Daphnia pulex: one gene and its partners. The protein of the gene in region 7 interacts with the protein of the main gene of each other region in a biochemical or structural test. Links are inferred from orthologs where the notes say so. Each region holds a gene or a part of one and is shown on either strand. Other genes may lie near its edges. The genes, in order: OTU domain-containing protein 5-B-like, UBX domain-containing protein 1-B-like, ubiquitin domain-containing protein UBFD1-like, E3 ubiquitin-protein ligase NEDD4-like, Golgi apparatus protein 1-like, DNA polymerase iota-like and polyubiquitin.

What was found.
Region 1: the proteins of polyubiquitin (region 7) and OTU domain-containing protein 5-B-like form a complex in vitro, tested with the Homo sapiens proteins (9 studies listed by BioGRID, with this or other methods). The link is inferred for Daphnia pulex from reciprocal best matches to the Homo sapiens genes UBC and OTUD5.
Region 2: the proteins of polyubiquitin (region 7) and UBX domain-containing protein 1-B-like form a complex in vitro, tested with the Homo sapiens proteins (9 studies listed by BioGRID, with this or other methods). The link is inferred for Daphnia pulex from reciprocal best matches to the Homo sapiens genes UBC and UBXN1.
Region 3: the proteins of polyubiquitin (region 7) and ubiquitin domain-containing protein UBFD1-like form a complex in vitro, tested with the Homo sapiens proteins (2 studies listed by BioGRID). The link is inferred for Daphnia pulex from reciprocal best matches to the Homo sapiens genes UBC and UBFD1.
Region 4: of the proteins of polyubiquitin (region 7) and E3 ubiquitin-protein ligase NEDD4-like, one has a biochemical effect on the other in vitro, tested with the Homo sapiens proteins (6 studies listed by BioGRID, with this or other methods). The link is inferred for Daphnia pulex from reciprocal best matches to the Homo sapiens genes UBC and NEDD4L.
Region 5: the proteins of polyubiquitin (region 7) and Golgi apparatus protein 1-like form a complex in vitro, tested with the Homo sapiens proteins (2 studies listed by BioGRID). The link is inferred for Daphnia pulex from reciprocal best matches to the Homo sapiens genes UBC and GLG1.
Region 6: the proteins of polyubiquitin (region 7) and DNA polymerase iota-like form a complex in vitro, tested with the Homo sapiens proteins (6 studies listed by BioGRID and IntAct, with this or other methods). The link is inferred for Daphnia pulex from reciprocal best matches to the Homo sapiens genes UBC and POLI.

Annotation. Positions count from the first base shown.
Region 1 is NC_060018.1:2,564,231-2,568,294, forward strand, and holds the start of OTU domain-containing protein 5-B-like, read right to left. Parts: upstream 2,801-4,064; 5' UTR 2,650-2,800; coding exon 2,518-2,649; intron 2,218-2,517; coding exon 2,057-2,217; intron 1,992-2,056; coding exon 1,748-1,991; intron 1,686-1,747; coding exon 1,530-1,685; intron 1,460-1,529; coding exon 1,303-1,459; intron 1,237-1,302; coding exon 556-1,236; intron 493-555; coding exon 257-492; 3' UTR 1-256. Other genes in the region: zinc transporter ZIP1-like, read left to right, coding at 3,489-4,064. UniProt on the Homo sapiens protein: Deubiquitinating enzyme that functions as a negative regulator of the innate immune system. Has peptidase activity towards 'Lys-48'- and 'Lys-63'-linked polyubiquitin chains. Can also cleave 'Lys-11'-linked ubiquitin chains (in vitro).
Region 2 is NC_060026.1:12,912,322-12,915,542, reverse strand, and holds UBX domain-containing protein 1-B-like, read right to left. Parts: upstream 1,965-3,221; 5' UTR 1,835-1,964; coding exon 1,782-1,834; intron 1,694-1,781; coding exon 1,496-1,693; intron 1,433-1,495; coding exon 944-1,432; intron 883-943; coding exon 654-882; 3' UTR 501-653; downstream 1-500. Other genes in the region: synaptobrevin homolog YKT6-like, read left to right, coding at 2,386-2,578, 2,648-2,748, 2,808-2,978, 3,047-3,184.
Region 3 is NC_060023.1:5,225,165-5,228,522, forward strand, and holds ubiquitin domain-containing protein UBFD1-like, read right to left. Parts: upstream 2,029-3,358; 5' UTR 1,713-2,028; coding exon 1,550-1,712; intron 1,472-1,549; coding exon 1,320-1,471; intron 1,251-1,319; coding exon 1,122-1,250; intron 1,060-1,121; coding exon 969-1,059; intron 900-968; coding exon 808-899; intron 729-807; coding exon 618-728; 3' UTR 501-617; downstream 1-500. UniProt on the Homo sapiens protein: May play a role as NF-kappa-B regulator.
Region 4 is NC_060022.1:1,841,552-1,845,631, reverse strand, and holds the start of E3 ubiquitin-protein ligase NEDD4-like, read right to left. Parts: upstream 2,801-4,080; 5' UTR 2,538-2,800; coding exon 2,499-2,537; intron 2,350-2,498; coding exon 2,273-2,349; intron 2,211-2,272; coding exon 2,129-2,210; intron 2,066-2,128; coding exon 1,866-2,065; intron 1,777-1,865; coding exon 1,572-1,776; intron 1,499-1,571; coding exon 1,330-1,498; intron 1,263-1,329; coding exon 1,123-1,262; intron 756-1,122; coding exon 690-755; intron 601-689; coding exon 510-600; intron 446-509; coding exon 328-445; intron 241-327; coding exon 137-240; intron 71-136; coding exon 1-70. Other genes in the region: integral membrane protein DGCR2/IDD-like, read right to left, coding at 3,415-3,638, 3,701-3,907, 3,970-4,080. UniProt on the Homo sapiens protein: E3 ubiquitin-protein ligase that mediates the polyubiquitination of lysine and cysteine residues on target proteins and is thereby implicated in the regulation of various signaling pathways including autophagy, innate immunity or DNA repair.
Region 5 is NC_060026.1:12,903,409-12,906,142, forward strand, and holds the end of Golgi apparatus protein 1-like, read right to left. Parts: intron 2,507-2,734; coding exon 2,229-2,506; intron 2,174-2,228; coding exon 1,942-2,173; intron 1,882-1,941; coding exon 1,679-1,881; intron 1,614-1,678; coding exon 1,355-1,613; intron 1,288-1,354; coding exon 1,059-1,287; intron 995-1,058; coding exon 804-994; intron 728-803; coding exon 606-727; 3' UTR 501-605; downstream 1-500. UniProt on the Homo sapiens protein: Binds fibroblast growth factor and E-selectin (cell-adhesion lectin on endothelial cells mediating the binding of neutrophils).
Region 6 is NC_060019.1:7,787,980-7,791,385, forward strand, and holds DNA polymerase iota-like, read right to left. Parts: upstream 2,197-3,406; 5' UTR 2,123-2,196; coding exon 539-2,122; 3' UTR 501-538; downstream 1-500. UniProt on the Homo sapiens protein: Error-prone DNA polymerase specifically involved in DNA repair. Plays an important role in translesion synthesis, where the normal high-fidelity DNA polymerases cannot proceed and DNA synthesis stalls. Favors Hoogsteen base-pairing in the active site.
Region 7 is NC_060024.1:13,924,171-13,926,359, reverse strand, and holds the end of polyubiquitin, read right to left. Parts: intron 2,174-2,189; coding exon 1,946-2,173; intron 1,783-1,945; coding exon 1,555-1,782; intron 1,391-1,554; coding exon 1,163-1,390; intron 993-1,162; coding exon 634-992; 3' UTR 501-633; downstream 1-500. Other genes in the region: FAST kinase domain-containing protein 4-like, read left to right, coding at 55-268.

The DNA of each region.
Region 1 (4,064 bases), on a different chromosome or scaffold from region 7:
TTTACATGATTTGGCAGCCAGTTTGCGAGAATCGGCAGTGGAGGAGACGGGGGTACAGGCAAGTTCAATCCAATTGTGTCAGTCAGACGTCATTGCGAGTCTAAATTTAGACCGAGAATCAAAGATTAACAATTTTGCATGGAAAGGACTTTCTTCTGACTCCTCCCCTGATACACGCCTCTTGAGCTCCCTGCCACTGACGGGGGGAAAAAAAAAGGAAAGCTAACACGTAGACAAAACAACTGAGGAGTCTGGGTTAACTATTGTTAGTCCCGTTCGCACTGGTCAGGTCGTTGGTTGGATCTGTCGTCATACTGTCGCGACTGCTCTGTTCAACCGGCTGCTCCTCTTGCTGCTGTTTGGTGTTATCCATCGTCTCGTCGTCGTGAGGGTCGATGGCTTCCCTGCTCTTTTTCAACTTGTCCAGATACTCTTGTTGCGATGCAGCCAGCACTTGAGCCAAAAGTCCAGCATCCTCCCAGTCTGCTAAACCTTTAGCCAATTTTAAAGCATAAAATTAAACTGAAAATATCTGTTGATATAAACGTCAGTTACCAAACATGTCAGGAGGCAACTGTCCCAGGAATGAAGCCGTTTCAGCCAATTCAAAGCCTGGCCCCAATCCCCAATCGGGTTTACTGGTGTTCACTGGGTTTGAACTTGAAGTACCAGCGGCCGGTGACGCGATAGGGCTAGTTGATGCACCTTCACGACTACTAGAGGTTGTGGCGCTGCGTGAAGTGGACGCTCTCGGTGAAGCATTTGGAGACTTCCGCTGGTGTTCAACAAAAGATGGTTTGGGCGAATTACGAGCTGAAGAGGACGTCGTTGCTGTTGTTCTTGGGGAACGGAGCTCGCAGGCATTCGAGGAAGTGGTTGCCGAATGACCGGACCGTTGCTGCTGTCGACTGCGTCGCTCGTTTTCTCTAAGCCAGTCGAGGTAACTTTCACGGGCAACTTGCTCTTCAATAGCTTCATTTGTTGCCTCCCAATCTGTGGCTTTAACTTTATCTTCTAACATGGCTTTTTCAATTAAGGTCTCTTCACTTTGTCGCATGGCATCACCCATTAATTTCTTGTCTGCTTGACCAGGGACAAATCCTGGCAATCCCAGTCCTACTCCCACAGTGGCTTTGTACGGATCAACCAAACTGTTGTAGTGCACTCCACGATGATAAGACAATCGAATAGGTTCGTCATCAGTCTGATGTTTACCATGGAAAATATTGATCGGCTCTGTAATGGGTTAAATTTAAGTAAGCCTTCTATTTAGCGAATTTTATCGAAATGATAAGGGCTTACCGACGCTGTAGCAAAATACTTCAATATGTCTGTTGTACATTTCGCTCATAGCCTGCATCTCAATGTGATTGCCATGTACATTTTCCAATCTTTTTCTACTCACATAGGCGGCAAAGTCTTCAGTCATATACTGTGAAAAGTAGTCTCCGTTTGCGTCCTTTTATGACAAATATAAATATAGACGTAATGTTTCAAATTCATAAAAATACAACAGGACAATTACTTACAATATAGTCCATACAATGTTTGCGAACCATTGAGTGCATTTCTTGATCACCGTAGATTTGATCAGAAACGGCACGAAACAAGCAGGCTCCGTCTTCACCCATCCGCTTAATAATAAAACCTCGTTTCCGCATCTTTTTCTCAAACCATCTTTCCTTCTAATAATCATATTGGCATTGATGGAGTTCTATGAATAACACTTCTGTCTTAGGAAACATACCTGTTCCCATTCTTCTTCAGAAATGGGGACATTAGAAGATGAAGATCTTGCAGGTCCATATTCATCTCCACTGTTATATCCACTTCCTGATTCATCTTCATGGGAAGAAGGATCTGGTACTGTATGGCTTGGTGTGGGAGAACTTCCTGAGCTGGATGAAGAGGCAACACTGTGCATGGCTGAACTAGTACTAGGTATGGCAGAGGTTGATGAATTCCTATCTCTGTGCTTGGGGCGGACAGCTCTAAATAAAAAAAAAATATGCCTGTCAAATTTCAATGCAACAAAATAATAACTGAGATTAAATACCTATGGGGACTGACTCTCATTCTTCTTTTTGTTTGACTAGGACCACTCTCCAGGTCATAATCTTCATAGCGAGATGATGACTGGCTGCTGTGTCCGTGGCTGTGGGGATGGCTTGATGATGTTCTTCCAGACAGCCTAGACACACTGCAAGTTTCTGCTACCTGTAAAATTTATGTAAAATACATTTTAATAAGAATCAACAATGCTGACTTTTTGTCATCTTTGTCAATAATAGTTATCAATACTATTTGCTTTTATTCATTGAGCACTGCCTAAATGGCAAGGGTGTAATGAACAAAGCACCATTTGCTTCTTGTACATAAGTACTGGTTGTAGCTGGACCGGCCATTTTGTGTGGTTGTTTCAGATGTCAATTAGAAGATGCACTGAAACTTCCAGCCATAATTTCTTCCAAAGGCTGTTTAAATACTGGGGTATATTTATAAAAATAATTTTTTTACCTGTGGTACTGGTCCAATGTGTGAAAGGTGATTATTGCTCCCAACTGAGAGGTGTTGTAGGGGAGATCCATCAGTATTACTTTCGGATTCCGACCGTGATTGAGATGACTTCTTTTTCGGCAGAATTGTCATGATGCTTGTGCAAAGATCACTCTCTTTACCGAAACGCCCTTGAAATGTACTCTTCGACGATTTCTTTTATCTATTCAACGAAAAAGACAAATTTTCCACTGAAAGATGGCCGTGTCTATTTTTCTGTCTAAATTATTTAGAGGTTGCCATGTCGATGAATAAGCGAAAACATAGAGTTTCAAAATGTTTCAAATTTTCAATGGAATGAATTTTCGGAGTGATGCTATGAATAAAAAACATAATTTTTCATGTTTGCAAAATTGTGTTGAAAAATATTTTTTAGCTAGCTTCTAGCTAATATGTATTTTTCAATTTCCGAATTTTTGCTCGAAGAAGGCAACCAAGGATGTTAATTGTATACGAACATTCTGTCTGCTCTGCCAGTATTGTGACATTGACTTCGTTTTGATCGTGTGTCTGGAATTTTACTTTTTAAGTGAAACATTGCATAACTTCTGCCAGGAAGGAATAAAATCACCCTGCATATACCTTTCAGGTAGGTGAATTAATTATTGTAGCATTATTGTAGAACCTGTCGTAGGTTCCTTCTAGCATGAAGTAAGAAAACGAGCAGAAGATGTAAAGCACAAAAAAAATAAAAATAAATACAAATCGACCGACAGAGGGTGTTGACCGAGCTCGAGTTAATATTTCGCTCAAGGCGCAGTAAGTGCCCTTGTCTCAAGTAGTTTTGAGTTTTATAATAACGCGAAGGGACAGTGAGTAGAGTCAGTGGCATCTGGCCTGTGCGAACGCTGAAAATTACTAAACGAAAAATTCTAAAAGAGTAAACAGTTGCATCAGTCCATCAGACACATCCAAGCATAGTGGCAGTCAACATGGATAGCCAAGTACTGCTGGTTGTCACTGCTTTGATTGTGTACATTGTTATGGCAATTTGTGCTTTGATTCCAGTCTGCATTGTAGCCAAGAAATCTACCAAGGACTGCAACTTTAGTCGTGGTACAGAAAGAATAATTTCATTCTGTAATTCCATGGCTGGTGGAGTCTTCATCGCAATGTGCTTTCTAGGACTACTTCCTTATGCGCAAGACAAGACGAGGAAAGTGCTTGCAGACCTTAATATAACAACTGATTTTCCTGTTGCTGAATTCACATGCATTTTAGGATTTTTCCTTATCATGTCAGTCGAACAGCTCATTCTTCAATGCCAAAATTCAAAGAACAAGACCAATGGAGACTGGGAAGTCCCAATGGCTTTTGACGAAACTGATAGATCAAGTAAACTGAATTATTATAACACAGTCAGAGATGAAAGTGCTTCAGAAGAACTGCTTGGCAAAAAAGCATTAGAAGCAGTCTCACCAGAGAGTCCTTCGATTCTAAAGGAAATCAACATCCCCAGGATTTATCAAAATGTTCCTATGGTCACCTTTAAGGAAGAAGATAGCGAT
Region 2 (3,221 bases), on a different chromosome or scaffold from region 7:
GCCGTGAGCGGGAGGAGGAAGGAGGAGGTTTACGTCCTGACGATTTCTTCCAATGTACAGAGGGAAAAAAGCAAAAACAAAACAAAACAAAAGAGGTTAACTAAAAATTACTGTAGGAAACAAAAGGAAGTAGACCTGGTTTAGTCACGTGGTGTGGATTTTGTGTCGACACTTCCGATTTCTTTTCTTTTCTCTTCCCACGGCTTGCTTTTTTTGGTTTTAAAGAAGGCAAAGAGGGGGAGAGAAAGTGAGACATTTTGTCAGACGAAACCTGTCAAAGTGCCTTGGACTGTTTTGACTTAGCATTATGTTGTAATAACGAGCCCTAGACAGGTATAACAAAAACCGCTATAACCTTAATGGAACGGCGGGTGATACGCGATTTGTTAGTAGGAATAATAAAACAATCATTCGAAGGTGATGAGAAACAGGTGTAGGTATCTATCAAATCGTGCAAACATCAAATTTCAAAAGATGAGAAAAAAAATTAAGTAACTTCGTGACTCTTACAATCTTATGTGTAATTATTTCTGAAACCCGCCTCTTTCTCCCCCAACACACTCTTTCACTCGCTCGACTTTGTTATCAGATACAAATACAAATTAAATCTCAAGATGAGATAAAAAAATTCGTTTTTCAGTCTTTTATAATTCTCATGCTTTTGATACCATCAAAACAGCACTTGGAACTAATCCTAGCACATCGAGTGGCTTCTCGAACTCTTCTTCGGTAAATACTTTTCTAGGAAAATTTGTTTGAATCCGAAATGGTTCCGGCACTCCGGCATTTACATCGGTCCTATTCATTTGAATGAAGAGACGAACTGAAGCTAGCTGCTCCTTAGCACCAAATGTTTGCGTCATTGTCGATCCATTTGGAAGTCTGGAAGAAATAATAAAGAGTTATGGAAGAGGGACTTGCGTCATCCAGAATGATTTATAACCTTATTTGGATTTTCGTCTCCTTATAGTCCTTGGGCTGATTGGGTGTTGTCGGTGCCGGAGCCGGAGCCTGAACTGGAGGAGCTACATATGGCGTATTGGTTGCGTCACCGGCTTTCTGTTTTCGTGCCAATTTATCTTGTTCAATTTGTTCTTTCACTCGCTGTCTGGCTTTTTTCTCTTCTTCTTTTTCGCGCCTCCGTTCTTCGGCAATCTTTCTTATTTCATCCTCTTCGAATTTCTTTTTTATATTGAGAAGCTCCTTGCCTGACTGTATTCTTCTTTTTTCTTGCTCCAGTTGTTCGGCCTTTTCTTTCTCTTCACGTTCTTTGCGCTTCAACTTCATCAACTCCTCCACTTTCCTCAGTTGTTCCTTCTTTTCTTCTTCAGTGAGAGGCTTCTTTTCATCAGTAGATTCTGAAAACTGGCTGTGACCGGTTTTCGCAGCATGAAATTCTACCTCTTCATTTGTGCGAAATAGTCTATTACATCTAGAGGAAATTTTAAAAAACATATGTAAGAAATTCAATGGTTGACTTGAGTTCCATACTTACTCATCACATTTAATAGATTTGGCAGTAACAGCAGCCATTTCAGCATTTGATGCTTCAGGTTGAGCAGCAGCATTTGGTTCTTCCTCTTTCATTTCTTGATTGTTGTCAGTTTGTTGATTGAATTTCTCACTGTTCACAATCAACCAATCCATTGCAGCTTCAATATTTTGGTCTCCAGTTTCTTTAATAGCCTTTTCACTTTTCAAATTTCAAAGAAATATAACAAAATATTAAGTTGCCATTTAAAAAATATAAAAGGTATGAATTATTTGGAATTAAAACTTACGCTAACTGTTCAGAAAATCCCATTTCTAGTAACAGTTGAAGATTTGATGACATTTTCGGTATTTCGTTCTTCGAAAAACAACAGAACAGAGGTATGTCGTCCGACTAGCGCTAGCAATGTCAGTATGTTATTAAAAAAGTGACGATGAAGCCTCTTCTGTTGGTGTGATTTTGCCCCAAAGATTTTTGTAAAATTTTGTGTTTTTTGTATTGAAATTTACATTGAAACCAAATGTTTTATTTCTCAAATTATTATTAATTCTACTAAAAAAGTGTTTACTTTCTTGCAATTAACTATAATTCAATTTAGCAATCTGATTAGCGCCAAATTAGCGCGGGGAAACAGCTTATTTTACGTTTATCCGCTAGAGGCGGTGTATTCCGATGCAACAAATGGGTTCTTCGGCCATTCCCGTTGTTTTATTGAACTTTTTCTCTTGTTGGTTGTCACTTTTTGCAGACTTCTATCGGATCGGATTTAACCGCTTCTGAGGAAAAACTCAAGCCGTCCACTTGAACCTTTAGTACTAATTAACAAAGGCCTCTCCACTTATCAGTAAGACGATTGTTGGAGGATCTTATATTTACTAGTCAAATCTAGAAAAATGGTGAAGCTGTATTCTTTAGCGATTTTACATCGCAGCGAGCAAGGGTCACCACAGCTACTTAGAGCGGCTTACGACCTCTCAAGTTTTGGATTTTTTCAACGAAGCAGCGTTCAAGAATTTATGGCTTTCACTGCCAAGATCTTGACTGAAAGGACAAGTGCTGCGTCCAGACAATCGGTGAAACAAGGAGGTATGTATGCAAAGAGTCATCATAAAACTCAATGTACATTATAAATTAAATGTTATTTCTTTATTGCAGAGTATATGTGTCACATTTATGTGAGAGCAGATGGACTCTGCTGTGTTTTGACGGCAGATCATGAATACCCACAGAGGGTTGCTCATACCTTGTTAACCAAAGTGAGTGCTACTTGTATGTTGGTTGAATTGAAATGATGAGATATTCTTAATTACAAAAGGTGCTTGATGATTTTGCTGCTCGGGTGGAATCATCTCTTTGGATAGAAGCAAATGCTGCCTGTGCAGCTTATTCTGGATTAGAAGCATCTTTGGCAAAATATCAAAATCCCAGAGAAGCAGATGCTCTAACTAAAGTTCAAGATGAACTAGATGAGACTAAGATTATTTTGGTAATTTAAGTCTTAAAGTTTCAATCTGTTTTAATTTTTTTTTAACCAGTCATGTTTGATTGTCATAGCATAACACAATTGAAGCTGTATTGCAAAGGGGTGAAAAACTGGATGACCTTGTATCAAAATCTCAAGGACTGAGTGATGCATCAAAAATGTTCTATAAAACAGCTAGAAAAACAAATTCATGTTGCAATTTTGGATAAGTTCTCAAGAAATGTTTATTTGATCACATTCTTGGAA
Region 3 (3,358 bases), on a different chromosome or scaffold from region 7:
GCCACTCTGAGCTTGCTAACTTGCCAAACAACCAATCTCTTGGTACCGGTATGCATTTTTAAAACTGAATGCTGAGCCTTTCGATTGCCAAATAGTCATTTTACGTAGATTTTTGCCGATATCCCTTTGTCCCAATGTTAAATTGAATAGCTGAACCATTCTCAGTGGCAGAACACCGTCTGTACTAAGAAATTCAAAATTTGGTAGGTAATTATCTGTAAATCTAACTTAAAGACTCCGTTGAACCTTTTTTGTTTTTTTCATTATGGGTTGCTTTTACAGTATGTCTTGCATGTCGACAAAGGCAGGCATATTGCATACAACACGAAAGAGACAATATTGTAAATTAAACCAATTTACTGATTTATCGGATATACTTTGTCCTCGATCAGTCATTTATCTTCATCGTTAAACAAAAAGTAGACCCAGTCTTTTTCACTCTTCCTGGAGGTATTTTATATGATTAAAAGTAAAATCAAATATAAAATAGAGTACAAATATACATATTTAGAAATGTTATTTAAGAAATACTCAACTCATCAATTTATATTAGCAGAAAAAGTTATAAATAGTATTGAATCAAGTGACAATTTCCAGAAATTGAACATATTTTTTAATCAAAAATAATGCCACTTCCCTAAAATAGTTTCTTTTATTGCATCCACATATTGACATGGTATCCAATAGATCCAATATCTTGAAGCTTCAGTAGGACCAAGCTGAATTCCCTGATGAAAGAGATGTAAAAGAGGTAAAAAAACAGAGAACAAAGAATCATTAAGAGAGCAAATGTGCCAAGAATCTTACAATAATGTGGTATTCTTCATGTCCTTCTATTGGCTCATTCACAATGGTTTTTATTGATGACATGCTGATTTTCTCTGTCCTTTCTTTTGTTCCTACAATTGTGCGTAAAATAAGTTGTAGAATTCTTGAAAATTCCATTAACAAAAAACGTCTGTATATACCTATCCAGATTTGGTCATTTTCCATCTTGAATGTCAATCTTACTTTGCCTCGGCTGCACATCCCATTCAATGGATGAGGTGGTAATCCTTCCTGAAAAATCAAAACAACTTTAAGAAGTACTTTTCAAATAAGTGTGTAGATATGCAACAAACTTTGGCATTCTTAACACCAGGCATAACATCCTCAGGTAGTCCTTTGTCCAAAACTTTTTTATGTATTTTCTGATGACACAATGGTTCTTTAATAGCACTTGCTGGTTTCAATTTATCTTCAGGGATCCACTGACAAAAGAGAATTAATTTCAGACAATTTTCATAAATAAGTTATCTGATAAGATTGAAAATTAATACTGTTGCTGTTTGATGAGAGAGAGCTAAAACATCATCAAATGTTGACCCAATGACCATAACTTTCGATCCTGAAATAATTCCAGAATCTCTTAAGGATTTGTCATCATGAGCAAGGCCTTTGACCATGAGTTTTTGCATTTCTTTTGGTACACCTTAAAAATTTACATTTCATTATTTAATATTTTTTCTACAAGAGTAATTTCAAAAATAACTGAGTTCTCAGTTCTCACCAATGATGGTGTGCAAATGTTCCTTTAACTGAGCAATTGTGGAATCCAGATTGAAGATAACATCATATTTCTTTTTGTTAAAAACTACCTTAAATTCCACATCTTTTGCAGTAACATTGCCTGGAAGTGTTAATTCTTCAAGAATGTCTTGTTTTTCCTCCATTTGATAATGTAGACGTTGTGCAAACGTCTACGAACATTAAAACGTGCTACGACTGAAGTTTCAACAATTGGCTAATAATATATGTGGACAACTTTCAATTCTAAATTAAGCAGCACTCCTACCAGATTTGCACAAACATCTAAATCCTCGAAAATCAGGTATTTTCAAAAATAGTAGATTTCTTTTCAAGTTTGAGAAAGCAAACCAGACTGGAACAAACGAGAGAGGAGACGAGTACTTTTTTCTATTTACTAACGGGTAGTGACACCTATTGAGAATTAAACAGACTTGACGGACTATATATATATACAACGCTGTTGACAGTACACTAATAAAATAAAATAAATAAAATATATTGCTTTTTTTGTATGGCTAACTTCATTTTTAAAATGGGGAAAAAAATAAGAAAGTCAAAATATAATGTAAAATATGCATAGCTAAAGTAGGTAGGTACAAAATATAAATTAATATTGGATTTTTCCGTATATGTATTTTCAATAAATAACGACAGCAGCCGCTAGGAAGCAGGCCAATTTTGACAAGATCAACAAAACAAAAAAACAAAACTTTTGAGTCTGTTAATCTCATCTCATAAATATTTGTTGAACTTGATTTTGCCTATCTCACATAAAAGGGCTAGGAAATAAGCGTGTAGACCTATTGCTAAAATACTACAATATGGTATTCTATTTTAATGATATAAAACTTACTTGCTTACCTCATATTTCTTGTTATTTGTAGTCAGCCTTGTTCAACTTCCAGTCTCTTCTTACGATCACATTACTTCTTATATGCACATGTGCGTATATTCGATCACTGACTCCAAGTCTACTAGATCGTAACAAAACAGGGTGAGAAGTAAAATTGTGTACCTAAAGGACTTATGTTTATGTAGGTTCTCGTAAATTATCAAGATGTTGACTGTTTTGTCAATTTACATGTCAATTCAGAATTTTCACATTAACAAGTTTTGTTTTGTTTTTTTCGTTACAGTTTTTTGGGGTTGTTCTGGAAAAGTGCTCGAATTGGTGAGAGGAAAAGTCAGTACATTGCTGCAGCATGTGTCTTAATGGCTGTCAATATTTTGTTCTGGTCTTAGTCTCATTTGCTATTTGAGGTGTAACAATTAAACAGCACATACAAAATTAATTTCATAATTCTAATTCTTTCTCAATTTCTAAGAATAAAGTTTAAAATGAAATCATTTAATCATATCTTTTAAAAAGTATCCTCAACACAGTCTACTTGTATGGAGCCATTTATTTTTGTTTTTCATTTAATAATAATTCTACTAAATCTTCTCTAATTCGCTGGTTCGCCGTAAGTCGAACACGATATGGGATTGGAAGAGAAGATCTTATCTACACATCATCTTCTCATATGATGCATGTATGTAGGAATTTATTTATAATCTTCGTGACTGATCACGCGGACCTCGTTTCACTTCCCTTCGATGATGGCACATGTCCTCAGCTTTTTTTTTACGTAATATTTACTCATAAATGCTACAAATCCATCTATTGAGGAAATCGAGTGGTGAAATGTCGGTAACTGGTCGGTAATTGCGGAGTACCGTGCGCAGTAAAAAAAAAATTAAATAATAAAAAAGGATAATGTTGGGTTAAGCTGGCTTCATAACTCGCGTC
Region 4 (4,080 bases), on a different chromosome or scaffold from region 7:
TAAGGAACAGCCGGTCCAGCAATATTAGGGTTCGACATACGGGGGTCTTCCCATTGGGTAATTCGTGTATCTGCATGTCAAGAATGCATTAAGCGTCAGCTGTACGAGTACCACCTGACGGAAAATGCCAACTTACTATGATCAATGTAGAAGATTCTGCCATCATTATGGATTCTTTCTTCCCATCCTTCCGGAAGAGGTCCCAGCGCTTCATCTTGGAAGTTTTTGTTTCCAGGGCTCCTGAACAAACAGATAATAGAATTATTGAAATGACCTTCATTTTTGGCTTTGTTTTTGTTTGAGAAGCCCAACAAAAAGAATACGAACTGGCTCTGCCGCGGAAGTGTCGATGGTCTCCCTGATCTTGGGTCCACCCAAGTTGTAGCCCGCTTGTTATGATCGATAAAAAATAGACGTCCATTTGGAGCAACTTGCACTGTCCAACCTAGATGTTTCCAAACGAGAAGTTTGCAGCTGTACACGTACGAGGAAATGAATGATTCACGTACCTTGTGGTAGTCCTTCACTGCTAGGAACAACTACAGGTCTTGGTGGGGTTGGAGACGTACTATTTGCAACCTGTTCTCCGCCGTCAATAGACTAAAATTTGAGGGTAAAGATATGGGTTAAAAATCACGCCATGAGGAAGGTCAGCATCGAAAAAGGAAATCAGGTTTTATTCTAATTACCGTTACGGAGTGACGAGGTGACGCTGGACTAGGTCTTGGACTGCCATTAATTTGTACATCTCTTAACTACAAATTTCGAATAAAACAAGAGGAGGTAAGCACAAATTCGGTTAAGCTGACTGTAAGTTTAGCATAGTCTACTAGCTCGATATTCTACATCGAATATTTCTAGCTTTTCTTACAACTGTAACAACGCGCAGAGGCAGGCTAATCAAACCTGTTCATCGCCCTCTGCAGTATCATCCCAATAATCATCGTATTCATCATCAAATTCGTCCCCGTCATCATAATAATCATCAAGTTCTTCATCGTCATATTCATCCTCCTCAAATAATATCGATTTTCCCGAAACAGCATGCAGAAGAAAGTGGCAAAATTCGTGAGTAGATATAAACATAACCGGGAGACCCAATAAAAACGAGATCAACTCTACCTGATCAGCAATACCAGCGGCTGCATCTAGTCCAGCTTGAAGCGGATGGGCATCGTCCGATATGTGATAGCGTCGTTGCATATCCGATCCAGCAGTTTCAAGGTTACGTTCACGTGCCAACTGCTGTTCCTGAATCACAGCTTTAACGGAAAGGAAAATTCGTGATAATACTCATAAAATAACAAGCCTTCCAGACTGCTCATTTACCTGGCTGGATGGACGGTCTCTCCCACTGGGTGGTGCGAGCAATATGATTAACGTAATAGGTTCGACCGTTAGCATCTTGACGTTCCTCCCAACCAGAAGGCAAAGGGACAGACTGGGCCGTTGCATTGGCGACGTCTGGAGCGGAAGAACTTCCCTGAACGTAAACGGGCTGGAATAAAAATCAGTATATTAGTATGCGAGAATATAAATGTAAATATTTTAACTATTTTAATCAGATTTACTCTAGCTGGCTGTTCTACTTGTGCCTGTCCAGCACTATTAACACCATCTGTCGTATCAACCATTTCCCAACCAGGTTCGGGATCCTGAGTTTGAGGCTCGGTTGCAGCGACAGAATCATTGGCTACTGTAATCTCCGAAACTTCATTTGGATCAGGGATGTATGCATGATATAGTTGCAGATGTCCTTTGACCTTGGAACGCGCACTGTTTTAAGATAAAGGACATAAACATTAAGCATGAAAGCAAAAATAAGAAACAGCAATTGCAATCTATTAGCATAAAATAGCATGTACCTTCGTGGCCGAAGAATGTAATATTTCCTGGGTATACTTGTATCTGGTAGTTCCTTTGGAAGTCCAACCAAAGGAAGTTCTACCATTCCCAGAAAGTCATCTCGGGTCAAGCGATTTTCATCAAACACTTCCATCACTAGCTTATGTTCTGAAGGTTTGACCCGGAATATGAATTCTTCATCCCATTTTGGATTTAAGGTCTGTGAAGTAAATGATTAAAGTTAGAAACAAACTACTGGCAGCACTGTGATGTTGCAACATACCCTTTTCTTGGTTCGTGTCAACACTGAATCAATCACTTGTTCTCCATTATTTGCCACCAAATCAATTCTCACATAAGGATCACTAAATTTAGGAAGAAAAGTGAGGACATGAGTAATACAACAAACACCACACTTTGTTATTACCTTGCTCCAAATATGTCTTTCTTGCAAAGGTTATGCCCAGCAATCACACGTAAACGAAGTAAACTTGTAAGCTCAGGCTAAAAGAATAAATATCAAATCATGTACAGACTTACAAACAGAAATTTGCCTTCCTTTCAAACAAAAAAAAGTAAACAAAATCTGATTTTGACCAGATTTGTCCGGGTTTAAGGTTTCATATTTCGGTATTTAGACACGTAGTACGTACCATTGCGTTATTGAGCCCATAGACACGACTTTCGGCCATGCAAACTTTTGAATTTTCCTTGACTTGATGCGATAAAAAATGAGTATTGACTCTGCAGATTTTCAAGGTTTAAAATTGAACAAACTAATTGAAAATGAAGTTTTTCACGCCCCAGCCCCAGCGTACAACACAACCAGAGAGCAGACAACTTGTATAGTTGTAGGCAACGAAAGTCGACTCGAGAACTGATGAATATCAGCTGATGGAGAATTTCGTCAGTCACGTGACCCATCGATGTGAGTTTGTGACAATGCTCTCTACTAAATGCGCTCTTGAAAAAAACGAAACATCGCACATGCTTGAACTCAATTTATTTCTTTGTTCGAAAGTGGTCGGCTGTAGATAATACGTTACCGTTTACAAAAAATTGAAATGAGGGGCGTGATTATATAGAGAAATCTGCCCTACAATAAACACATTCAAAGCAACCTACCGTCACCGCGACAGGACTGCCTATATGTGGATTATAATATTAATGACGTATGTGCCCATCAATAGATGACTGTGATTTTCGAAGCCTTTTGTCTAAGCACATAATTTTACATAATAGAAACGTTGTAATGAATACAATTCAAAATGATTGGGGGAAAATACCGTCGAAAAACACATCATGGAGGAAATTTGTCAAAGGTTTTCAAAAATAACCTAGATGACAACGAATTAACTATGTGAAGGCTTTTTGAAATGAAAATACATGGAGAAGCCCCACATAGTCGCGTAAAAAAGAGAAAAGCGAGTAAAAGGTGACAACACAACGAGAGCAGAATCAATACATCGAACAGTCAAACGAGATCTTCTAGACTGAAGTAGCTGATTTCTTCTACTAGATTCTGCTTTAGGTAGATACTTGATTCTGCTAAAGAATAAGTACACATAATCAATTGGAGCCCAGATGGGCAATCGACGCGGCAGAAGAAGAGGAGGAAGTGCTCAAAGTCCCAGGTTGGGCGTGACTTGAACTGCTCGTGCAGCTGCTTGTGTCTGAGCAATCGAGGGCAAGTTGTAGGCTGAAACGTTGAATGGCAACTTCGGCTGGAGAACGTTCTCTCGGCAAGTTCAAACTATTCCTCCATTGAGCAGAAGGAAGTTCGTCGTCGTCTTCTATAAACAAAGCATTCCAATTCAACAGCTGTGTAAATTAAACATTTCTCAACTAACATTACCCCTGACTGAGGAGGCCCCTCCTTCTATCTCATTCATAGCTGGAGTTGAAATACAAGCAAGAACTTCTGCGTAACTAGGAGGAGGTGTTCCCGCGTCCAAAAAATCGCTAGAATCCAAAGTATCGTTGCTCCGTCGTAACATCAACGTGTGACTCATAGGTGTTTCGACTAAATCATTCGACGGAGCGGATGGAACAACTAAAAGACCTGCAACATAAATATAATGCATTAAATTTGTTGAAATACGAAATAAAAACTTCTGTTTTTACTTGTGGTTTCGCGGCTGTTTTCACTTTCTTCGATAACTAGACGATTGGATGGATTTTCAGAATAGGGCGGTGGGTTATCCGTGACGGACGAATTAGGTAGCTTCCACATCA
Region 5 (2,734 bases), on a different chromosome or scaffold from region 7:
CGGAGTCCCTCTATGGCTTGGGTGGTCTACGACCGGCGTCTACCGGAGCAGACGCTCCGCTGAAGAAACCCTAGAGCGGAAAGAGGCGATTACGCAAAACCGGACACCCGAAAAAAGGACAAAGAAGAAAAAAGTAGTGAAGGACATCCACATTTCACCTGCTGACCGTATCAAAAGGGCTGGGCAGTTTCGCTCTGTCTCCAACCGTTTCAATAAAGAGCTAACGATTCCGTTCGATAATTTTCAATCTACTATTTTAAAGAGAGCGCGGTGCTACATAATCCCATTAGTGACTTAAAAGTTTCGCCTTGGCTGAAAAAAAGAAGAAGAAAATTTTATTTAAAAACAAAAAAAGTGGAATCCTGTTACTAGCCGTTTGCGTTATCAACACGATCTATACCAGATTTACAAACTTAAAGAAGCCCCCCAAATTAATAAAGGAAAGGACATTTAAACGAGGTCAAAAGCTCAAGGAAAGTGATGCGAAAATCACGACTACATCAACGTTTTTAGTATTAAAATTTATTCGCCATTCTATTTCAGACTGAATGACGCAATCAAATGTCACTGAACATATTCACCTGCTAACAGCGAAGGTTAAATTTTTAGTCAGATTTGATTTTGGGGAAGAGGACAGTCCCTTGAGCGCCGAGAGAAGTATCGGTGGTACTCGATCGTAGTCGAGCGAAATTCCAGTCGCGATTTTCCCGTGGCACACCCAATTTGTCTTAATGGAAATATTTCATCCTTTTAAAATCATGATCCCGGAAATAGCTTTCGTCATTCGAAAGGAATCAACTTACCGAGTAAACGTTCACTGTAAGAAGGCACGATCGGTTGAAGAAGCGTTCCCACTACCCTTGCAGTTTCCATGGTGACGGCCAATGTGGCATTCAGTTTGTCAATCTCGCCTTCTTTTTTCAACTTCCAGGGTTCCATAGTCTGGAAAAAACCATTGGCACATCGAACTAGAGCCATGATTTGTTCAATTCCTCTGTAAATTAAACAATTAGTGATTAGGTTTGATTTTTATAACCAGGCAAAACACACGAATTTACTTGTAAAAGTTCCACTGTAGATATTCTTCGTGAACAATGTCAGGGGTGCGTTGTAAAAGATCAAGCAACTCTAATCCTGGAGAACCACAGGCTTCAAAATCTGACGGACTGACTGCAAGTCTTATCTGCAAAGGATTCAAATTCTTGCCACAGCAGCGGTTGACTAGATTGCCGATGCCGTCGGCCAAATTAGAGTTGGCGATTCGCACCAGCTTCGTCATACTAAAATCTTTGTCATTTTCAAAACTATTAATAAGATTGATAAACAAATCACTTGAGAACAATGTATGACTCACTTCCATCGCTGGCTGGAACTCCTTCGTGCAACAGAAAATAACGGAGTCCAGTTGCTGTTGCGATATCGATGCAAGACTGAGGGCTGACGACGTTACCCGTAGTTTTAGACATTTTTTGATCGTCGGCCAGCCAATGGCCGTGTACTAGTAAACATTTCGGGGGATCAAAACCAGCAGCCAAAAGGAAGGCTGGCCAGTAAATACTATGGAATTTTAAGATATCTTTTCCAATCACATGAACACTCGGCGGCCAGATATTCTGTGGAATCAAAGGTTCGGATACGTTTTAATGTGTTGAAAAATATAAATTTTTTAAAATATTACCTTGTCAGAATGTGAGTGTTTGGCGACAGTCATGTAATTTAGCAATGCATCGAGCCACACGTAAATTGTTTGAGAAGGATCTTCTGGAACTGGAATACCCCAAGACAATCTTGCACGAGGCCTAGATACTGACAAGTCTACAAGATCTTGTTCAAGCCATGATTTTACAAGATTATAATGCCGCACAGGTCGAACAACGGGACCTGTAAAAAATTGTTTGGTTTGTGATTTTGTTGTACACTACTGAAAAAAAGGAAACTTACCACTGATCAACCATTTTAAAATTTCTCCTCTTAGCTTTGATAACTTGAACAAATAGTTTTCTTCACTGAACCATTCAACGGGACGATTAGATTCTGTTGAGACTCGTTGCTCACGACCATCAGGCAATTTCACTAGTGTGGTTTGATCTTCTGTAACAAATGTTTCATCGGCTGTGCAATACCAACCTTCATATTTTCCTTTATAGATGTACCCTTTATCTGAAAGAATATTCTAAAAAAATGGCTCATTAATATGTGAAACATATTCACATTGCACTGACATTTACCCAAAATGAGTGAACGTTTTCTTTGTGTCGATTTTCAGTAGTCCTGATGTAATCGGTATAACCAATTTCACATTTGTCCAAAGCATTTTTAAATAGAACAGAAACCTGATCACAGAATTGGCTGGGATCTTTATTGGCCTGTAATGATGCTTGTTGGATTTTTAGGCCATGCTCATCAGTCCCAGTAGAAAATACAACAGGGCTGCAACCAATTAAACGATGAAATCTGGCTGAGGAATCAGCAAGGACTGCTGTGTAGACATGCCCAATATGAGGCTCTAAATTAAAAGAAAACAAATATTGTAGTACTATTTGAAATGCTTAAATATGAAAATAAAATTCAAGAAAACACCAAACCTGCATTGACATAAAATATAGGTGTTGTGATGAAATATGGCTCATTTTTTGTGGTAGAAAATTGCCTTAAGCTTCCATCATAAACTTTAGTTCTTTTTTCGTTAAATTTTGAATGAATAAACAAATTATAAGAAAATGAAAAACGTGTT
Region 6 (3,406 bases), on a different chromosome or scaffold from region 7:
CTAGTTTGCACACGTCTCGTATGAAGTGAAAGCAAGAAAGCAAATTTACATTAGAAATTGTTGGTTATTTACTTTTGTTCAGTAATAGAGTTCCAGAAAAGGATAAGTTGTATGATGTAAACCGTCACCATACATGTCCTGGAAACCGTCGACGGTGACATGCAACTAGAATGACAATTTCATTTTTTCATACATATACATGTAAACTAAACAACAATCGGCAAACTCGATGAATATTTATATAATATAAGATTTCTAAAATTGGTCGTTCAGCATTCTGTGTGGCCAAACCTCAAATTTCAAAATCTTTAAAAAAAAACTAAAAATGCCAGGATAGTAAGTATTCTAGAAAAAAACAACAACAACAAAACGGAAACAAAACGCCTCACTTACCTTAACGTTGGTTGTTGCTAATTACTAGACAAGATGGCCGAAAAGGTGTTTTGGTCTCGAAAGATAAGGAAGTGGCTAAAATTATATCCCATCCATGAAATAACATGTCTTTGTTGATCATTTATAGCTACTACAGAACACATTTTTACACTTTACGGAAGTACTGTAATAAGTTATTAGGTTTTTTGGTTGCGATTGGCTTCTTATTTTTCTCCCCAGCCAGCAGTTCCTTCTGGATCTCCACCGGGAGCTCGCGAAAAACTTGAGGATCGACACCTTTTGGACAATCAAAATCTGCTGACTGTTGGGAGGTGCTTGATGATGGTATTTGACACTTCATATCTTCTAAAACTTCTTGACGGATGTCATCAGGTAATTCTTGGAGGACAGATTCGTCAAAGCGTCCACGCTTAGTTGGAGGTGGCAAAGTTTCGTTCGGTCGCGATGAACTAGTAAAATATTTGTTGATGGAATTTTTCGCTGGGCTTTCGATGCCAGAGGGAAAACCAGAGAACGAAATACCCAACAATGTAACTTGCCACGATTCATCGCAATTTACTACCTTTTCGAAGAGATTCATTAGAGTCGTGATGACTTTTTTTTCTTGATTTTCACTTAACGGTCCTAATGGCGCGTTGCTAGGAACTCCAGTCGTAAGATCTATTGCAGTCTGGCGGGCCTCTCTGACACTGTGATTGGTCGCATGTAATTTCCGAACTGTCAATTTAACTTGACTTGGTCTACGGCCATCCTTCTCCACTAACTCCCAAACTCGATCTAGCAGGCACTTGAGCTTCTTGCGCACTTCAGTTTCACTTTTGATTGTAGGAAATCCATCTTCGGCTCCAATAGATTTCGGTCTGTCGGTTATTTTGACACGACTATCGTCGATCCCAAAACTCAGTTGTTGAATTTGGTTAGCTGTTTTGACTCCAAGTGCTTCAATAAGCTTAAACAAATCTGCTGCTTGAAGTTTTTCTATGGTGTCAATACCAAGAACCTCTAGTTTTCTGTTCATTGCTGAACCAATTCCAGGAATATTTCTAGGATGCTTCAATGATTTCATCAAGTTTAAAGATGATGCTGAGAACAAGGTGGTTTGCTGATTTGGTTTATGGGTTGCTCCAACCAATTTAGCTAGAAGCTTGTTACAAGCAATTCCAGCACAGGAGGTGATTCCAAGTTCACTTTTTAGTTGATTTCGCATTTCCTGAGCAATAATAGAACCTTCTTTTAGTCTGTCTGTACAACCACATGCACAAGTTTCATCACTGTTCTTTTCTTCGAAAATGTGTCCAGAAACTTCTGGTTTAATTTCAGGGGACTTGTTGATTTTGTGGGAAATGTCAATAAAATTTTCATCCAAGCCAAGTTTCTCCACAAATGGGCTGAACGATTGAAGAATTTGATAAATCTTCTCTGACATGTCTCTATACTTTTTCAAGTCCTCTCCATTTGCAAGTACTAAGGAAGGGCACTTTTCTAGTGCGGTCTTTATTGACATAAGTTTCTCAACACCCAGCGCTCTTGCTTCATAGTTACAGGTTACAACAATATTTTTCTGTTTGATACCAAGTGGTTTGCCACATAAAGATGGATTTAGAATCATTTCAACTTGGGCATAAAAACAGTCGATATCTATATGGATGATAACGCGTTCATGTTTTTCACTTGACTGAATGGCAACACTATTGTACGAGAAATCGTCACCTAAATCTTCTTCCTCCATTTCGGAAAGAGTAAGGAAAAAGTTTAAACAAACAATAACAATTCAACTACCGGCAAATGACAGCACTGTAGTGTCGTCTGCTTTGTTACTATGAGCCCGAAGCGCAAAGAAAATGAAAATTCATTATTTCAAAATATTTCATAAGCTAATTGATTATTTTCTGATTGAAATGAAGAAAACTTAAAAAATGAATTAGTGTTGTTTTAAAATATCACGAAATAATAAAGATAACCATATGAAAATGATCAAGTATTTCAGGCAACTATGCAGAAATTCATGACATTTGATTTTTACATGACACGCCAGCAAATTCTTTTCTTTCTGTCATTCGTTTTTTCTCCTTGTTGTCATTCTGTCAATTATTCACTATGACAAAATTGGTTGAATGGTTGGGTGGTGCAGGCTTGTTTGCTGGTGTTTGGGCTTACCTCTTTATCAGTACACCAGTTGGAAACTCTAGCGACTTTGCCCGGCATTTCGTTCTGTTCCTACCATTTTACGTATTACTCGCATTCGCAGTAAGTTTTGTTTTTATATGATATGGTGCGTATTATCTATAGCAATTTTTTCCCTCATTATTGCAGGTGATTTCTGTTTCAATAATTGCTTGGAGAGTCTACACATTTAATGACTGCGAGGAGGCTGCCAAAGAGCTAAAACAAGAGATAGTTGATGCCAAAGCTGACCTCATAAAAAAAGGATTCAAACTAGACTAAAACATGATACTCTTTTCCACTTTGTATTGACTGATTGCATTTTCCTCAAAATACACATTCCTCAAAATCTGAAAGTGTTTTGAGGACAGCTAAAATTGTTAGTGAGATTTGATAGTTCCATTTCTTAACACACTTCCATTAAAAGAAGTTTGTCAGACCTGCAAGACAAGACAATGTAATGTACACAGCTTTGGAATCCCCATAAGCATTAAAAAGCACTAATGAAACAACAAAATATTCTCTTACACTACAGTCCTCTTTGCTGTCAAGAGATGTGCAATGCACAGAAAAGTTAATTGTTTCTTCTATTTAAACAGATTTAAAAAGTGAAATGTTCAATATAGGAAAAGTCAGAAATTAGTTTCCACTGTAAGGCCTTGTCAAATGATTACAAAAACATAAAATTCATCACAAGAGTGTCAAGCAACCTTGTCATTCACACACTAAGGCAGTATTATCTGGTATCTATAGCTTTCATGCTACTTCCTTACTCTAAGAGATAAATCAACAGAATCATATAAATAGTAAGGAATAAAAATGTTGCATAGACACTTCGTAATTACGAAAG
Region 7 (2,189 bases):
CAGAAAAAACTTAAGACTTGCTCTAGTTATTATTAATATGTTTGCTTACATTAGGGTTGCGGTAATAGTGCTTAACTACAATCATTTGTGCAAAGGAAAGTCTTTCAGTACAGGACCTCAAGGATTGCGTGAGAGACTTCTTACCCAGTCAGGCTATCGAGTGGTCACAGTCAAACACACAGAGTTCGACCCTAAAGCTGATCTAGTTAAAAATGTCAAATACCTACAGAATTTAATTAACAATGCAATGGCAGCCGCAAGGAATTAAACATGTAAAACGCGTTTGTAGTATAACAGTTTTGAATGAATACAGTGTTGGCCTTGTACATTTTCAGTGAAAAAAAAAATTATTGGAGTAGTAATTAAGTTTGATGACAAATGCAAATTGAGTTCAAAAGTTGTAATTCAATTTTAACACAATTGTTATTATATTAATTTTATTGTTCGTTACCAATTTAATTATTATAACGTATTATAATGAAGTAATATAAAACCAATGATTAATGCAATTTCGATTTGTATTTCAATTTAAATCAACTTAAAAAACGAAACACGCCAAAGCGAGGACAAAACATTTCCGGATATCAGTTCAAACGTTAGAACTTGCGATAAAGCTTCAAATTATTTCGGTATTTAAATACCACCGCGAAGACGAAGGACCAAATGAAGAGTAGATTCCTTCTGGATGTTGTAATCCGAAAGAGTACGTCCATCTTCAAGTTGCTTTCCAGCAAAAATGAGACGTTGCTGGTCAGGAGGAATTCCTTCCTTGTCTTGGATCTTAGCTTTGACGTTCTCAATGGTGTCTGACGGCTCAACTTCGAGAGTGATGGTTTTTCCTGTCAGGGTCTTGACGAAGATCTGCATACCTCCTCTCAAACGCAGAACCAAGTGGAGAGTAGACTCCTTTTGGATGTTGTAATCTGACAAGGTACGACCATCTTCCAACTGTTTACCGGCAAAGATGAGACGCTGCTGATCAGGTGGGATACCTGAGTAGAAGAAGAATGGATTAGATTTTTTACACCATAGAAAGTCGTTGAAGTTCTAGAATTTATATCAGTACACGTTGGAAAAGAAGTAATCAGGGTACATATTAAAGAGCTAATAAAGTGTCATCATAATCGATGAAAAAAAAATAAAAACTGCTCCAAATTATTACCTTCTTTGTCTTGAATTTTGGCCTTAACGTTCTCAATTGTATCCGATGGCTCCACTTCAAGGGTGATGGTCTTTCCGGTAAGAGTCTTCACGAAAATCTGCATACCTCCTCTCAAACGCAAGACCAAGTGAAGAGTGGACTCCTTCTGGATGTTGTAATCGGACAGAGTACGACCATCTTCCAACTGCTTACCAGCGAAGATCAGACGTTGCTGATCGGGAGGAATACCTAGGGGAGAAAATAAGCTAATTAAACACACGTTCGTAACACACAATACGAATAATGTTTTAAATGCGTCAGATAAACTCGTAATCAGGGTGCATATTTAGGTGTCCTAAGAATATCATCAAAAACCAATTTTCCAAATTATATCAAAATCGAAGCAAGCTTACCTTCTTTATCTTGAATTTTCGCTTTAACGTTCTCGATGGTGTCGGATGGTTCAACTTCAAGAGTGATGGTCTTTCCAGTCAGGGTCTTCACAAAGATCTGCATACCACCGCGGAGGCGAAGAACCAAGTGGAGGGTTGACTCCTTTTGAATGTTGTAGTCGGACAGTGTACGACCATCTTCCAACTGCTTACCAGCGAAAATCAGACGCTGCTGATCGGGAGGAATACCTGTAGGTTAAGTAACTAATTAATACTAGAACGGGAAAAATGTTTCAATAATCTTAATATTGCTCATCAGACCAATTAAGTAATCAGGGTACATATTTAGGTGTCCTAAGTGTGTCATCACATAAATATTTATCTTAAGCAAGTATTCCTTTTCGTTTCTTACCTTCTTTGTCTTGGATCTTAGCCTTGACGTTCTCAATGGTGTCCGATGGTTCAACTTCAAGGGTGATGGTCTTTCCAGTGAGAGTCTTGACGAAAATCTGCATACCACCTCGGAGGCGAAGAACCAAGTGAAGAGTCGACTCCTTTTGGATGTTGTAATCGGACAAGGTACGACCATCCTCGAGCTGCTTTCCGGCAAAGATGAGACGCTGCTGGTCGGGTGGGATACCTGAGTAAAGAATAGC